2 linked regions of the Sus scrofa genome follow. The protein of the gene in region 1 interacts with the protein of each later gene in a pairwise test. Links are inferred from orthologs where the notes say so. Each region holds a gene or a part of one and is shown in the gene's direction. Other genes may lie near its edges.

Evidence for each region.
Region 2: the proteins of GRIPAP1 (region 1) and RAB4A interact in binary tests that used the Homo sapiens proteins (3 or more experiments, as listed by UniProt). The link is inferred for Sus scrofa from reciprocal best matches to the Homo sapiens genes GRIPAP1 and RAB4A.

What each region holds. Positions count from the first base shown.
Region 1 is NC_010461.5:43,055,686-43,060,932, reverse strand, and holds part of GRIPAP1 (GRIP1-associated protein 1), read left to right. Parts: intron 1-290; coding exon 291-475; intron 476-673; coding exon 674-721; intron 722-2,320; coding exon 2,321-2,352; intron 2,353-2,460; coding exon 2,461-2,508; intron 2,509-2,651; coding exon 2,652-2,751; intron 2,752-5,184; coding exon 5,185-5,247. UniProt on the Homo sapiens protein: Regulates the endosomal recycling back to the neuronal plasma membrane, possibly by connecting early and late recycling endosomal domains and promoting segregation of recycling endosomes from early endosomal membranes.
Region 2 is NC_010456.5:60,489,418-60,494,664, reverse strand, and holds part of RAB4A (ras-related protein Rab-4A), read left to right. Parts: intron 1-101; coding exon 102-164; intron 165-1,641; coding exon 1,642-1,796; intron 1,797-3,167; coding exon 3,168-3,263; intron 3,264-5,247. UniProt on the Homo sapiens protein: The small GTPases Rab are key regulators of intracellular membrane trafficking, from the formation of transport vesicles to their fusion with membranes.

The sequences.
Region 1 (5,247 bases):
GTCCTGAGTTGCTGTGGCTGTGGTGTAGGCCTGCAGCTGTAGCTCCAATTCGACCCCTTGCCTGGGAACGTCCATATGCCTCAGGTGTGACCCTAAAAAAGCAAAAAAAAAAAAAAAATGTGAGAGGTTGCAGGGGGGCGGGCTGAACATTTGTTTTGCAGGCTCGTGGTCATTGGGGGCAGGGTTTCTGCTACCTAAGGAGTCGAAGGCCAGTTCTCCCTCTCTTGGAGGAATGTCAAGGGCCTTTGTAGGCGACCTCACCCATCATATGTCTCTGTTCTACCCACCAGCCCTGCAGGAGCGCTATGGGAAAGAGGCTGGGAGGTCCCCAGCTGCAAGTGAGGGGGAGGGGGACCCCCCAGGGGGCCCAGCTTCCCCTGTTCTGCCCCCCATGCCGTTGGCAGAAGTGGAGCTGAAATGGGCGATGGAGAAGGAGGAAAAGAGACTGCTCTGGGAGCAACTGCAAGGCTTGGAGGTGAATCTGGGTCTGTCGGGGCCCAGGGTGCCAGGACACAGGCAGATGCCCTGGCTGTGCCTGAGGTCCCACGGAGATGTCTGAGACATTACCCGTCTCATGGGCTGATGGGTTAGGGAGGCAGGAGGGCAGGGAAAGGCACAGACCTTAACCTCCTCCCTTGCTGACAACGACGCCCTCCGGCATCCTTCCCAGCAGACCTTGAAGCAGGCCGAAACATCCAGGCTGCAGGAAGAACTTGCTAAGGTGGGGCTGCTGCGCTTTCCCTGGACTTTGCCCCGCCCCCAGTCCCCACCTGCCATGCTTCCCCTGGCAGGGCACAAGGGGCAGAGTCCCTCCTGAAAGCCTCAGTTTTGTCATCTGTGAAATGGAGAGGCAGTTATGTCTCAGATCTGCTTTCCCTCCGAGATGGGCTAATGTGGTCCCTTCTATGTCTGGTACATAGCCGACCACATCCCATCCTTTTGTGTCCTCCCAGCTCAGCCTGTTCATGCATCTGTCCATCCATCCAAGCATGTATAGATGGCTGGCTCTTATGTTAAGAATTTAAAGGGAGTTCCCGTTATGTTAAAAATTTGAAGGGAGTTCCCGTCGTGGCTCAGTGGTTAGCGAATCCAACTAGGAACCATGAGGTTGTGGGTTCGATCCCTGCCTTTGCTCAGTGGGTTGAGGATCCGGCATTGCCGTGCGCTGTGGTGTAGGTTGCAGATGCGGCTCGGATCCTGCGTTGCTGTGGCTCTGGTGTAGGACGGTGGCTACACCTCCGACTCGACCCCTGGCCTGGGAACTCGACCCCGCGGGAGCAGCCCTAGAAAAGGCAGAAAAAAAAAAGAATTTGAAGGGGGCACAGTCTTTATGGCATTAGCTTGCTGTGGCCCCCTTTGCCTGGCAAGGCAATAAAGCTATCTTTTTCTCTTTCACTCCCCCCCACAAAAAAAGAATTTGAGGAGTTCCCATTGTGGTTAAGGATCCGAAATAGTCTCTGTGAGGATGCAGGTTCAATCCCTGGCCTTGCTCAGTGGGTTAAGGATCTGGCTTTGCCACAAGCTGAGGTGTAGGTCGAAGATGCGGCGGATCCATTATTGCCGTGGCTGTGGCCTAGGCCAGCAGCTATAGCTCCGATTGGCTCCCCAGCCTGGCAACTTCCATATGCTGCAGGTGTGGCCAAAAAAAAAGAATCTGAGACCCAGTGGTGAGGCAGCCAATCCCGATCCTGCTTTGCAGCCCTCCCAGCTTAGCCATTCTATGATGTGGCCATCCATCGATAGGGTTGGGGGCATAAATGCTTGGGCTTTGGAGCCTGAGGGAGCTGGGTAAAGGTCACATTTTTGCTGCCAACCAGCTATGCAACCAAAGTACCTAACCCTTCTGAGACTCAGTTTCCCCATTTATCAAACTGATAGTGCTCATTTCTCAGGACTATTTTGAGGATTCTACAAGATAAGTCCAGTTTCCTTTTTTTTTTTTTTTTTTTTTTTTGTCCTTTTGCCTTTTCTAGGGCCACCCCGACGGCATATGGAGGTTCCCAGGCTAGGGGTCAAATCAGAGCTGTAGCCGCCAGCCTACGCCAGAGCCACAGCAACGCAGGATCCAAGCTGAGTCTGTGACCTACACCACAGCTCAGAGCAACGATGGATCCTTAACCCACTGAGCAAAGCCAGGGATGGAACCCGCAACCTCATGGTTCCTAGTCGGATTCGTTAACCACTGCGCCACGACGGGAACTTTCAAGTCCAGTTTCCTAAAAGGACTTAGTAGGAAGTGACTGTACACGTGCAGTTTATGTTTTGTCCTTATTAATATTAATCTCACTGTTATCACGTGTTCTCCCCTCCCCCACCCTAGCTCTCCGAGAAACTCAAAAAGAAACAAGAAAGGTAAATTTTTTTTTTTCCCCCAGAGGTTGGGAAAGGGGCTTGTGGGGGGACTCTGGAGGGAGCTGACTTGTGGAACTGACCTGTGAATGCCTGTCTTTCTATGCCCAGTTTTTGCCGCCTGCAGACCGAAAAGGAGACACTATTCAATGATAGCCGGTAACTACCAGGGTTGGAGATATTGGTGGAGAACTGGGCAGTGCCCAGTGGCATTAACCAAAGTTCACAGGGGCAGAGCTGGGAGACTGGGCCTCAGGCCATGATCATTGTGCCCCCCCCCCAACCCTGCCAATCACCCCCAGGAACAAGATTGAGGAGTTACAACAGCGGAAAGAAGCTGATCTCAAAGCCCAGTTGGCCCGAACTCAAAAGCTGCAGCAGGAACTTGAGGCTGCCAATCAGGTGAGAGGCTGGGTTTTGAGATCACTGGGATGGGGACAGGTCTGGGAGTCTGGGGAGCTCTGAGGTCTGGAGAGGCTAGTTGGCAAGTCTGATATTTCCTGTGTTAGAAATATAGGCACTGGATGGGTCCTGGGCCTGCTAGGAGCTAGGGAAATGGGACCTAGAGAACCCCCAGAGCCTGAGGGGTTGGGCTAGGAATCTGCATGAATCAAAAACCTCAGGGGGTGGGGGGAGTTCCTGTTGTGGCTCAGCAGGTTATGAGCCCGACTAGTATCCAGGAGGATGCGGGTTCAATCCCCGGCCTCGCTCAGTGGGCTAAGGATCATCCGATGTTGCTGTGAGCTGTGGTGTAGGTCACAGATGTGACTTGGATCCTATGTTGCTGTGACTGTGGGGCAGGCTGGCAGCTGCAGCCCCAATTTGACCCCTAGCCTGGGAACTTCCATGTGCTGTGGGTGCGGCCCTGAAAGGAAGGAAAAAAATCTCAGGGGGGCTGAGGACTTGGAGGATCTGTGCCACAAGTTTGGCTGAATCTAAAATTCTGGGGGATTAGATGGAGTTCCCGTCGTGGCGCAATGGTTAACGAATCCGACTAGAAACCATGAGGTTGTGGGTTTGGTCCCTGGCCTTGCTCAGTGGGTTAAGGATCCGGCATTGCCGTGAGCGGTGGTGTAGGTTGCAGACGCGGCTCTGATCCAGCGTTGCTGTGGCTCTGGCGTAGGCCGGGGACTACGGATCCGATTAGACCCCTAGCCTGGGGATCTCCATATGCTGCGGGAGCGGCCCTAGAAAAGACAAAAAGACAAAAAAATAATAATTTTAAAATAAAAATAAAATTCTGGGGGATTAGAGACAGGAGTATGGAGAAATCTATGGTCATTGGACTGGGACCAAGAGTTGGAATGAGTCTGAATTCCCCGGATGTTGGGTTACTTTGAGACCTGTGGCAGCCGGGCAGATGTAAGACTTTCAAGGGTAAGACAGGCCTGGAGAGTGGGTCCATTTGAGACCCTCAGAGCTTGGGGGCTGGCTTGGGGCCTGAGATACCTAGGAAGTTGAATCATGCGGCCTGGGTGGTCCTAAGACCCCTGGAGCCTGTGAATAAAAAAGTGGCAAGTCAGAGACATCCAGAGACTGCAGCAAATGTCTAGGTGGGTCTGAGGCTCCCAAGGCTTGGGGGCTGCCTCCTGGCTTCCCCCTAGAGTGAGTGAGTTTGAGGTCCCTTGGATCGGGGGATATGGTGGCTCGTGGGTCTAAGGCCCCCTAGGAGCAGGGGACAGAAGTCTGGGTAAAGCTGAGTTTTCAGTTAGCTGGGTCCGAAGATCTCCAGAGACTGAGGACAGGTGTGGCAGGTGAAATATTGGTCTGAGGCCTCACCAAGGCAGTTGTATTAATATGCAACCTATGGGGTCTGGGGCTGTGCGTGCATGGATCTGAAATTCTTTTTTTTTTTTTTTTTTTTTTTTTTTGTCTTTTGTCTTTTCTGTTTTTTGGGCCGCGCGCATGGCATGTGGAGGTTCCCAGGCTGGGGGTCATCGAATGAAAGCTGTAGCCACCAGCCTACACCACAGCCACAGCAACGCCAGATCGGAGCCGAGTGTGCGACCTACACCACAGTTCACGCCAACGCCGGATCCTTAACCCACTGAGTGAGGCCAGGGGTTGAACCCATGTCCTCATGGATGCTAGTCGGGTTTGTTAACTGCTGAGCCATGATGGCAACTCTGGATCTAAGACTCTTGGGAACTAGGGGTATGGGGGGTTGTGTGTGTCTAAAAATCCTTGGGGGAGTTCCCATTGTGGCTCAGCGGACATGAATCTGACTAGGATCCATGAGGATGCAGATTCAATCCCTGGCCTTGTTCAGTGAGTTAAGGATCTGGTGTTGCCATGAGCTGTGGTATAGGTCGCAGACTCGACTCGGATCTGGCATTGCTGTGACTGTGGTGTAGGCCAGTAGCTACAGCTCCGATTCAACCCCTGGCCTGGGAACCTCCAAATGCTCTGGGTGCGGCCCTAAAAAGACAAAAAATTTTAAAATAAAATTTTAAAAAATCCTTGGAAATTGGGGTCAAAAGTCTGATTGAAGCTGTAGTCCCTGGAGGCTGAGTGTGTCTGAGAATCCTGGGGCCTCTGACCTGGAATCTGGATGAGTGTGAGACCTCTTATGGATGAGGGCTGAGTGAATTTGAAATCCCCAGGAGTCTAGGTGTTTTCTGAGATGCTTAGAACTGGGATATAGGGGTGTCTGAGGCCCCTGGGCGTCATGACCTAGAGCTTGGGTGAGCCTGAGATCTCCGATGGCTGGGTAGTCCAAGACCCTCAAGTGCCGGCAACATGCTGCCGGGTGGTCAAAGAGGGAGTCTGTATGGTTATATGTACCCCAGGGGAGGCTGCAGTCTGGAATGGGCTCCCCCAACCTGGTCCCCACAGAGCTTGGCGGAGCTGAGAGACCAGCGGCAGGGGGAGCGCCTGGAGCATGCGGCAGCACTGCGA
Region 2 (5,247 bases), on another chromosome or scaffold:
TCCATCTATGGAGGTCTTCAAGGCAAAAACTGGTGTGGGAAGATGGTCCTCAGGATTAAAGGCTCTGATCGGTTGAAAGTAAAATAATGTATCTCTTCCAGGTCTGTGACGCGAAGCTACTATAGAGGTGCAGCAGGGGCGCTCCTGGTCTATGACATTACCAGGTAATGACACCCTCGCCCACCCCACCCCACCCCTGCTGGTGGAAGAGGCCATCTCTCTGCTCTCCCAGGTCCATGCCTCCCTGTGGGCTGCGCCATAAACATCAGCCCCCAGCAGCATGGCCCGCAGGCAGGAAGCCCCTCAGCCCTTTCCACAGGGGTCTTGGAGGTTTTTGAACCAGCCCCTCCACTGCTTTAGCTCGTAAAAAAGTACACAGCTTAGATAGATTAAGCATCCCCATGTTTCACTAAGTTTCTGCATGATGTTCTGGCACTTTGCTTAGGGTTTGCAAAATGAAGCTTTGTCTGTGGTAAATTGTTAGAAGTAATTGGCGTCCGCCAAGCACAGGCTCTCAGCTTGATTGCCTGAGTTCAAATCCCAGTCAGTCACTAGCTATGTGAGTCCTCAGGTGAGGGGCTTTGGTTGTCAGGACTTTAGTTTCCTTGTCTGTTTTAAGGCGTAAGGAGGGCCGTACAGCACTCATGAGCTTTTTGGGCGGTTAGATTGGTTAATAGAAAGCTCTTGGCACATCATAAGGATCTGAGTGCACTGTCCTGTGTGTAGCTATCACCCGGGTATCTCAATTAAGTTTAATTAATTAAATATTCAGTTCCTTGGTCTCACTCTCCCATTTCAAGTGCTCAGAAGTGCTATGTTGAACAGTGCAGGTGGTAGAACTTCCTGTCTTAAAGAAATGCCATCAGATGGTGCTGACCTCAGTGTTTGCCAGCACCACCTATAAACATGTCATCTGAGAGAGTATCACCCTGCTGCTGTGACACACACCCAACCTAGGTCCAGAACAAGGGGCTCTGGCAAAGAGGTGGGCAGCTCCTTGCCAGGCTCTCTGCATCTGCCTGGATGGCAAAGGTTCAGTTTGCTAAAGTGAAGCCACCAGGCACAAAGTGGGCCAGGGGAGGAAATCTGTCCTTAGATATGTGAGGGCTGCAGACAGTTCTGCAGGTGATGGACCTGGTCAGGTCCTGGCTTGACCAATGGCTGCTCGTGTCTCTGGGCTCAGGTTTCTTCTGGAGGAGGAAGATAATAAGAGTCAATGTCATGGAGTCTTCACAGAGAGTCAGTGTGATAAACCCTGTGAAACAAAGCAAAGTATGTTGCAGGGTCCTTGCATGGCAGCAGTTAGCTTAGGTCTTGATCACCCTGTTGTGCATAAAAGCTCAACTACTGTAAAATGAACAAGGGAACTTCTGTTTCCTTTTGCACCCTGATTGGGAAGACCACAAACAGCAAGCTCTCTGACTTGCTGCTCATTTTCCTGGAAACAAAATGAAACACACCCTGTGGCCATGGTGTCTGTGGCTATAGCGTGCACTGGGGCATTCAGGTTACCTCAGTTACCTGTAAGGTTGGTGGTGTTGCCCTTCATGTGTAGAAGTGGTGTGAGTGGTGTGAATGACTGGAAAGAGTTGCTAGCTTTATAAAATACATGTGCTATTTTCACAATCTTATATTACGCAGCCGAGAAACCTACAATGCGCTTACTAATTGGTTAACAGATGCCAGAATGCTAGCGAGTCAGAACATTGTGATCATCCTCTGTGGGAACAAGAAGGACCTGGACGCTGATCGTGAAGTCACTTTCTTAGAAGCCTCCAGATTTGCTCAAGAAAACGGCAAGTGACCTTTTACACATCTATTGGAGTTTTAAGATTGAACCATATTTAGGAAATGCGAAACTTCCTTATAAACCTAAACCTATTTGGCATATTTTTGTCGTGTTACATTCTGCCTACAAAGTTACTGTAATGCTAAAAGTACATTTCGTAGTATTCTGTGATGACATTTCAGTCGAGGATTTTTGAGTATTATAGCTCTTGGTTTAAATGAAATTTGTAACAATAATTTCTAAAACCCCTAATCAGATGATGTCATCTTTTTTTTTAAATGTAACTTGAAGCTAAGTTGGTTACTAAATAGAGAGAGAAGCAATAGAAGAAATACTGGACTTAATTGGCTTTATTTTACTTACAGTAAATTTAAGTCATTTGGCTGTAGATGCTTTTGAAACTTCTCTAAATTTCCATATAGAATACCTGAGGATAACACATAAAATGAATGGTTGCTTAGAGACAGCAGAATGATAAGGAATCAGATGTTTTTAAATAACTTTAATTTTTAGAACTAAAATATCCTGATATCAATTTTCATATGGACTCTAGGACTGCCAAATTATACTGTTGCAAATTAACAAGTTTTCTGCTGAGAAAATAAACATGCACTGAAAACATAAGCCGTGTTGAGTTTATAAAGAAGCTGTTAAGAAGTATGCAAGCTTAGAATGTTAGAGCTTCAAAGGAATTTATTTGTTATTTAAATAAACCTCATTTTTGCAAGCAAGGAAGCCAGTGTCCGGAGAGGTTAGGGTTTGCTCAGGAGAGCGACTTTTCTGCTGGGTGAGATACCAGCTGGTGGATAAGAAGAGCACTCCTTGGAGTTCCCTGGTGGCTCAGCAAGTTAAAGGCCCAGTCTTGTCAGTGCTGTGGTGTGAGTTCCATCCCTGGCCCTGGAACTTCCACATGTCATGGGTGTGGAGGGGGTGGGGGAAGAAGAGCCCACCTTCATACAGGATCCCTTCACTGTCAGGATGGCATACTGCCCGCCCTGTAATCCCCCCCAGGATTGCAGGTTGCGTTTGTGGTCACATAAAGGCTATTGGAAAGGAAATGGCTCCTTTGTCTTATATCAACAGCTGGGCAGTATCAGCCAGCCCACTTCCTTAACCAGCCTCTAGCTAGCTTAGTTTATTTGATTTAAATGCTAGAACAAAATACTAGTTACTTTTCATCAAAAGTTAGAACTCTTCTAATATTTAAAAAAAGTATCTTGACACATATTAATTTTATATTTGCAGAAATACATGGTTTTAAGTAATAAATTACATTTTGCCTGCCATTCTAAGAGAATATTAAACAGGCAGTTATTAATTGAATAATTGCAATTGTCTTCTAAACATGGCTTCGTGTTTTGTTTGATGTCAATTTTAGAGCTGATGTTTTTGGAAACAAGTGCACTAACAGGGGAGAACGTAGAAGAGGCCTTTGTACAGTGTGCAAGAAAAATACTTAACAAAATTGAATCAGGTAAAAAAGGCTTTCCGTTAATAAACTTTTCTTTAGCATATTTTACTCTTTGCCTCAACAGTATCACTTTTCAGTATTTCCAGGAGTGATTTGGTCAAGGGTATTTATTCTCTCTACACCTGCCGACCTTCAGCTGCCACTTGTGGGTTCAAAGGTCTTGTGCACCACCCCTCTTGCCCAGTGGTTTTTTTTGCCCCACTGATGAAAGAGACAAGGGTCAGGGTGTCAGCTGGTGTTTGCTTTTTCGAACCACAGCCTTTTTTGACCCATCATTTAAGGAAGAATGGACCTTTGTCCATCCCTATCAACAGCTTGCTCACTCTGCTGGGCCCGTGGTTTGGGTATCGTGAAGAGTTTATTTCTGAAGCTAACTGAGCAGGTCTCAGTAATCACCTGTCTCATTACTGTTCTATTTGTTGCTTCAGTAAAAATAAATTTTAAATAACCTTAATGTAAGCAGCTGACAAAATAACATGCAGTTAATCATTTATTGAAGTTAATTTTTATTTAAATGTCACCAAAGTTATATGTGGACTTCAGTTTTTCATTGAGTCATTCAACTACCTGTGCCTATTCTTTGTCAGGAGCTGAGACACCAAAGTAAATTAATCACAACCCTTGCCCTCAAGAAACTGTCATGGGAAACAGTCAAAAAATAATTATAATGCAGTGTGGTCGATACAGTACTTGAGACAAGCATGGGATCTGGGCCACAACAAGAAGGGAAACCCACCTATTCAGGAAGTGCTATCAGGAAAGGCTTCCAGGAGGAGTTGGTGACTGAGCTCAGGCTTTTCAGATGTGAGGAGGAAGAGTGAGCAAGGGAGTGAGAAGGAGGGTAGGCTGGCAGAGGGACAGCATGAGTTGAGAATGGGGGGAAGCTAGAGTTACTGGAACAGAAGGACTTCAGCAGGGAATGGCAGGAGACGATGCAGAGGAGAAGCAGCATCCAGGCCAGTCATTGTGGTCTAAGATCTGGAACTTTACCTTGTTACTAAGTCTTCACTGGCTGTGCACCAGAGTCACCTGGGATGCAGGCAGATTTGGATTCCAGGCCCTGCTTCTGGAGATGTGGAAATAAGGCCTAGGCATCCACTCTTTCATGTGATTAATTCTGATATTCATCTGAGATTGAGAACCACTGCTGTGGGGGTGAGAAGCCCTTTGGGGTGGTGAGCAGTGAGTGATATGGTCAGGTTGTGACTGGGGACAGATCACATGTGTAGGTAGCCTTGTCAAGGATAGACTGGAGGGATCACAGGGCTGAAGGCCAGGATGCCAGTTAAAGCATTTTTGAGTGATCCCAAAAAGGTGACTGATTAAAGCTATAAACAGGGATGTGGAAGCAGAGATGAAGAGATACAGATGAATCTAAGAACTATTTGGCGGTGGCACCAGGATTCAGATGCTAAATATCAGTGGTGACAACTCTGAAGAAGTGTGATCATCCAGAGAGCAGTGGGAAGAGCAGTGACCCGGAGCAAAACCCTGGAGACCCTAAAGGATAGAGAGGAGGGGAGATGTTAGAGATGTGTGAAGAGAGCCAGATGTGTCACTCCAGCCCCAATTCCACCAAAGGATCATTCATTATCAGATACAGTAGAGGAAGTCTTATAAGCTGAGACCTAAGCTTAAAAATATCCCAGGGGCTGGGCAGTAGGAAATCTTTGGTCATCTTTACCAGCAGAATGACAAAGGCAGAAGACAGGATACAAAGAGGAAGCAGAGACTGGATGCCTCCCTGGAGGAGGCGGCGGAACGCTAATTTAATAGGAGAGGTGTCAGGAACAAAAGAGATTTAACACCTTTAAATGCTGAGAGAGAAGAGAGTAAGGTAGAAGAGAGAAGGAAGGAGGGGAGCTGACCAAAATGGGTCAGGGGGAGGGGAGCAGACAAGGCAGAGTGTCGGGGCTCAAACAAAGGGCTGGCTTCACTTCAACTGTCTGTGGTCTTTAGATCTGAAAACAGGAACAAAAAATTTACT